Linked DNA regions of Caenorhabditis elegans. The protein of the gene in region 1 interacts with the protein of each later gene in a biochemical or structural test. Each region holds a gene or a part of one and is shown on either strand. Other genes may lie near its edges. The genes, in order: his-51 and nap-1.

Region 1 (2,804 bases):
GAACGCATATTTGCCCCTAAAGAGTGCAGTACAGACCAAACGACAAATGTTATTAGTGACGTCGCAAATCGCTTATCTTAAAAAGTTCCAGGTCTGTCCACAATTATTATTTGTTTATTTCTTCTCAACCATTCAAAATTTCAAAATAAAGTAATCAATTACAGACAAAAATCAAAATATAAAACAAACGATTGAATAGTGGGAGAGGAAGAAACAATTTAAGATGACCGATTGGAACAAGTCCGTGGCCAAATGTGGGTGGGGGTGGTTGTGAGATTCATTGATGAGATTCATAGGTAAAGTGGGATAAACAACACATTATATCAATTGTATGTGTTGTGACGTCACTATAAGTATACTTCTGAGAGAACTCCAACAAGGCGTGTTAAAATACATCATATCAAGGGCTCTCTCTAAAATCATAGTGTTCAGCCATTCAAGAGCAACTTTGAATTTGGCGCCAATTTGTTTGAATTTTTAATGAAGAAGTCCAATTTTGATTAACAATTGTAAGAGAAAATATTGGAAAGCATTAAAAATTCTTTTGTGAATCAACTAATTTCGAGAAGAAGTTTCTTGATTGCAAACGTTGAAAAGATTTTCAATTAGTAATAAAGTACAAAAAAAAAATTGAAATACTATAATATATTTATTCAGTCAATAGAGGATTTGAAATATTTGTGGCCCTAAAGAGGGCCGTTGGGTTCGGTAAAATGTTTTAAGAAGGCATCTATTCCTTGTCTCCTCCAGTCTTCTTTGGAAGAAGAACAGCTTGGATATTTGGAAGAACTCCTCCTTGGGCGATGGTCACTCCAGCCAACAGTTTGTTCAACTCCTCGTCGTTACGGACGGCAAGTTGGAGATGTCTTGGGGCAATTCTGGTCTTCTTGTTGTCACGGGCAGCGTTTCCAGCCAACTCGAGAACCTCAGCAGCGAGGTACTCAAGAACAGCAGCCAGGTAAACTGGGGCTCCGGCTCCAACACGTTGAGCGTAGTTTCCTTTACGGAGAATACGATGAAGACGACCAACTGGGAATTGGAGTCCGGCTCTTGATGAGCGGGACTTGGCTTTTCCTCCGGTCTTGGCTTTGCCTCCCTTTCCGCGTCCAGACATGGTGATGATTGGTTGGTAGATGTAGAAACGATCTGAAGAAGACCATTAGACAGCACCCTTTTAAACACAGCTGCGGTGACTAGGCGGGCACATAGAGATAAGACAGATGGGGGAAGTGGCAGAGTGACCAAGAAAAACTATGCACTTTGTACATTCGGCATGAGAGACAGCATAGAAAGGTGTCCCCACAGAATGTCAATAGGCTCCTCCTTCCCACCGAAAAATTGTTATAAAGGTAATGGCCAACAACCCATTCCTTACACTTGTCCAACGACCAGTCCAATCAATCGAAATGGCCCCACCAAAGCCGTCTGCTAAAGGAGCAAAGAAAGCCGCCAAGACCGTCACCAAGCCAAAGGACGGAAAGAAGAGACGTCATGCCCGTAAAGAATCCTACTCCGTGTACATCTACCGTGTGCTCAAGCAGGTTCATCCAGACACTGGAGTCTCTTCCAAGGCTATGTCCATCATGAACTCTTTCGTCAACGACGTCTTCGAGCGTATCGCTGCTGAGGCATCTCGTCTTGCTCACTACAACAAGAGATCCACCATCTCTTCTCGCGAAATTCAAACTGCCGTCCGTTTGATTCTTCCAGGAGAGCTTGCCAAGCACGCCGTCTCTGAGGGAACCAAGGCTGTCACCAAGTACACCTCTAGCAAGTAAGCATTCAATTGCTGAAAGCAAATCACCGAACCCAACGGCCCTCTTAAGGGCCACAAATGTATTAAAATCCTTTTTCAATTAGTAGTTTATTTAATGAAATAAAGTTTTCTTCATTCTTCATCACTATTATTCTTATTTTTTCTTCTTATTTAAAATCTGATCAAATAATTGCCAATGAAATAAATTTCTAAATTCCCGAGGCGCAACGGACCACGGCCTTCAAAAGAGTACCTCCGGTCAAAACTGAAATTTTAATCATATTTTCTGAAAGTATAAAAAATTTTTTGATATTTTTTCAACAAATATATATGTTTTTTCTTCAAGATATAACAGGTTTCATAGTTAAAACTATTGTTTTCAACTGAAAAAAAGCAAAATTTACTTCAATCTTTGGAAATTCTTAGAGACAATCATAGATTTTGAATGGATTTCTGATTTGGAAAACATACCGATTAACTGATTTTCCTAACTTGCACCAAAATTGAGTTTTTTTCTTACCCTCTTTACTGATTCTTGGAAATTCTTAGAGACAATCATAGATTTTGAATGGATTTCTGATTTGGAAAACATACCGATTAACTGATTTTCCTAACTTGCACCAAAATTGAGTTTTTTTCTTACCCTCTTTACTAATTCTGTAATTAACTCAATACAGTTTTGGAAATTCGCTTTCTCCCATTAGAAATTCTATGTTTGGATGAAAAAAAGAATCAGTTAACAGTAGTTTCAATAAAATCAATCATATGGATAAATTATTACTGGTTTCTTCGTCTTTAAGAATTTTAAAAGTCAAAAAAGCGACTCACAAGTTCAAAATGATTGAAGTTCTTATTTAACTCTTTTTTTACTTTCCAAGTTCAAGTTCGAGAGGAATGTGAGAAATGTGTTTTATTTGAATATATCAAAAGCTAAAAAATTGATCCAGTAATTACAATTTCGCCTTTCTTGAATCCTAAAATGCAACCAGCATATTTATTGACCTGTCACTCTCTTGCAGAAGGAGCAGAAGAGGATAGGAGACAGCCA
Region 2 (3,978 bases), on another chromosome or scaffold:
TTTGTTCCTAGTGGATCTTTCTGCTCTAGACATATTTTTAAGCTTATGATTCTTTCAGAACATTCCACTTTATTTATACTATTTCGCCCCCAATCATTTTGTTCCATTTAACCAACTGGCTTCGATTAAATGAAAAGTGCACTTTGCAGCACAGAAACATTCGAAACTTTTTTCGGGTCTCTTCGATAAAGTACATGCTAGAGAACTCGAGAGAAGTAGACGCAGACATATGTTCTCTTTTTTCGCAACATTTCGAAATTTGAAGAGAAAAAAACCGACGACATTTAACTCGAAAATGTGTGCAAATACTTTTTCTGTTCTTCAAATATTTTGGGAAAGTAACAAGTATTTGTCTATTGAGACTAGAACTTTTAGGTAACACCAAACTGTATAATTGAGATAATAATAAGAAGATTACCATAATTTGAATATCTACCTTCAAATGAAAAACCAGTTGGCATTGATTTACATAATCTGTTGATGGACGCGAAAACTTCCGAAGAGTTGTGCTGAAGAACAATTAAATACATCTGAAAGGAATGTGTTGGGTGATACCGGTAAACGTCCAAAGTTCGAGTCTTGGTAAATTAAAAAAGCAATCCTCTCGCAGAGACGAGTTTTCACATCATATCGTCTTTCGTTTTCGATGATAATCAATATCTCTGCTTGTGACAGTCCTAGCAAGTCTAGCGATTCCGAGCACTGTGCTTTTAAGAGGAGTTGGTAGCCGTCCAACATAATGCAGAGGGTTTTGAAATAGACGATCTCTCCTGAAAGATGTTCCAGATGGCAAGACCTCAGAAGGACTGAAATTCGCAACAAGGGATTTTATTCATCACTTAATGCAGGATCACGAAAATATTGAAATTCGAGTTCAAAGTCGACTCGTGCCAGCTCATTCAAATCCTATCATAACTAGTATGAAGAATTTGCGAAACAACATACACCAGGATGAAGACAACATGTATCAAGTATTTCGACGACAACTCGTTTTCAGGTATATCTTTAGAGATTGGGAGAAGCGGAATATGGATAGGTCAGGGAATAAACGACAACAACAAGTAACAGCAACAATCGGTTTTCCGCCTATTATGTGAAGGGGTTGGGAATAATCAAAAAAATTTTAAAAAAGAAAATGGAAAATTAATAATTTCAAAAATTGGCAAATTAATAAGTGGTCCATCGATACTGCTTAAGCCTCATCGTCACTGAAGTCTGACACATCATCACCGTCCTCTCCTGGGAAATCGAACATATCGTCTGATTGAAGTTCTCCAGTGTAGAAAAGAACAGCACGTGGAATGATGGTATCACGGATAGCTTGTCCCATCTCGTAGTCGAGCTCAAGGAACTCCTCTGCCTGTTCATCGTCCTCATCTTCATTTCTCTCGTCCTTGCTCTTTGGTGGCTCGAAGAAGTTGAAGAAACTATCTGCTTTCACAGTTTTGGTGAGGAACTTTCCAGCATTAGCTCCCTTCTTTTGCTTCTTCTTGACAGCCTTCTTGGTGACGTTCTTGCCGTCTTCCCACTCAATAGTATCTCCGACAGCGCGGATGACATGTGGTCCATCGAATTGGAGTGGTGCCTCCGCATCTGGGTCGAAACCGAGCAAGTAGGTCTTGGTAAGAACTTGGTTTTTGAAGTATGGGTTGGTGGCAAAGTGGAACTCGATTTTGAAACCCTGAAGTTCAAAACATTAACTTTCGAAAACAATGAAATGCGCTTACGGCTGGATCCTTGCTAGCGGCGGTCGTCACATCAGTGAGATATGAGAGGATTGGTACGTCATGCTCCTCGATGGCTTCAGCAACAAGATCATGGGTTCTGAGAGCGGTGAGCCAGAAATCCTTGATCCCCTTTGCTGATGGGTCAGCCTCCGCAGCTTTGTACAATTCCTGAAACAAAGAAATGTCAACTAATAAGCTGGAATTGTCATAGCCATATCATCGCGCAAGAAACACAATCCAGGAGCGGGAATAAAGGACATGTTTTATTTCGCAACGAAAAAAGGCGTGCCCCACGGGAGGCAAATCTCTTGAATAGTTGCAGGCTATATAGGGAATCTTGATTAGGAACTTACAGCGAGTTGATCTCCCTCGAGTCCTTCGAGGATTGGAGTGTCGATTTGTTCTTTAGTTGGCTCGACCTCTCCCGCGACAATAGCCTTTCTTTGATCGAAAGTGGATTTGAACTTTCCTTCAAACTCGATCTCGAGCTCGTGAACACGTTTGTAGAAGTCAGATTCAATCTGAAATAAATTATATACTTAAGAACATAAACAAAGAAAACTAACCTGAATTGTCTTCATTTGAAGGTTTTTGAGAGCGCAGACGCGTTGCTTGACATTGAGAGGCAAAGCCTGAATCATGTCGAAGTTGGTGCTGAGAAGTCCAGCGTCAATATGCTCTTGATCAGCCATTTTATTACCTACAAAGCATAAATAGATGATTTTGGCATACTCTTTCAAGCAAAAAAATACGATGATTTTCGAAAATTCGAGAAAAAATCTGTAAAATTATTGTGAAACGAAGCAGTGCTGTCTAAAATCATAGGACGAGAGTTGAAAATATATTTTCCAAACAACCACTTCGCTCCTCCTCCATAAAATGTCTCTTCGCGGTGAGACCCGCGGTTAAAGGCGCACACAAGCTTATTATTTACGAGATGGTCTTTCATGCCTATATTATTTTTTATCAATGTTTTCATATTGTCGTTTGTTTTCTGGTTTGTTTTGGTGATTTACATATAATAATTGTATTGATTTTTATTTATAAAAGTATGGATTTGTTATGATAGTAAATTCTCCTGAAATTTGATTGCATTTGAAACTAATTGTAGGCACTTTTTTTTTTAAATAAACAGTTTTTTGCGTTTCAAATTCTAAAATTTGATAGCTCTTCAAATAACCCACATCTTGGAATCATATTTCTCGTTTTCTCGATTCTCTCGAAGTTCCTTAAGCTATTAGAATATTACACATAGCATTCGACGCCAGATGTTCCCCCGTTCAGCACAAAACTTCTCACTTTACTTTAAATATTTTCAACTTCCGAAAATCTTAGCGAGTTTTCAAATTCATTGTTATTTTCAGGGAAAAATGACGACGTCCTCAGAAAATATGCAAATTATGAATGGCGTGGAAGTGCCACCGTTCAGAAATTTTCACGAGTTTCTGCTGGAAACCGATCGATACGAGGTAGGCTTGAATTGTTATTACATATATTTTTAAAGAAGGGCCAACTTTTGTAGAAAATATATTTACATATGTTGAAGTTTGACTAAAGTGGTCGTTTAAAATTTTTACTTAGAGTTTAATTTAAAAATAATCGAGTTTTTTATTTCAATATTCAAAAGATAAAAATCCAATTGATTGATTTTCAGCGTCCACCATTTAACGACTTCAAGAAATGGAACAATCGAATAATCTCGAATCTTCTGTACTTTCAAACCAACTACTTTGTTACAATCATCACTTTATTCCTTCTGCACACGTTCATCAGTAGCCAGGACATTTTCGTCGGTCTTATCGCCGTTGTCGCCGTAATTGCAACTCTAATCTTTGCTGTCTCGGCTGATGCAAATATCAAAAAGGTAATGATTGACGGGAATGTGATGTTTTTATATTGATAAGAAATTCGAATTGTTGACGGAATTGATAGGTACAAAGTTTTATTGGAATTTGGAATTCAAAATTAGTTTAAGTTCAAGTTTCAGATGCAAAACGCAGCAGCATAAAATTAAGCCATGTCCACCGTAAAAAATAAAAAGAGCTCGTTTTTACCGTTTACCTGAATAGGATAAGTTAACATATGTTTCACGTAACAGTTTGTGCACTTCGTTGATGAAAATTATTGTTGTGATAATCGTTTTTTTGCAAGTTAAAGCTAAAAAAATAATTGAAAAATATAGATTAAAACATGATGGCACATAAAATTGGTCCAAAAACAATTACTGAAACCAAGAATTACCAAAAAAAAA

Evidence for each region.
Region 2: the proteins of his-51 (region 1) and nap-1 are reported together in a solved structure, tested with the Caenorhabditis elegans proteins (one study listed by BioGRID).

The regions. Positions count from the first base shown.
Region 1 is NC_003283.11:8,849,058-8,851,861, forward strand, and holds his-51 (Histone H2A), read right to left. Parts: upstream 1,115-2,804; coding exon 731-1,114; downstream 1-730. Other genes in the region: his-52 (Histone H2B 2), read left to right, coding at 1,407-1,778. UniProt on the Caenorhabditis elegans protein: Core component of nucleosome. Nucleosomes wrap and compact DNA into chromatin, limiting DNA accessibility to the cellular machineries which require DNA as a template.
Region 2 is NC_003282.8:8,376,893-8,380,870, forward strand, and holds nap-1 (Nucleosome assembly protein 1-like 1), read right to left. Parts: upstream 2,428-3,978; 5' UTR 2,420-2,427; coding exon 2,294-2,419; intron 2,249-2,293; coding exon 2,081-2,248; intron 2,050-2,080; exon of another isoform or gene 1,928-2,049; intron 1,896-1,927; coding exon 1,728-1,895; intron 1,682-1,727; coding exon 1,193-1,681; 3' UTR 813-1,192; downstream 1-812. Other genes in the region: D2096.7 (ELYS domain-containing protein), read right to left, coding at 419-509, 556-738; praf-3 (PRA1 family protein), read left to right, coding at 3,098-3,196, 3,382-3,591.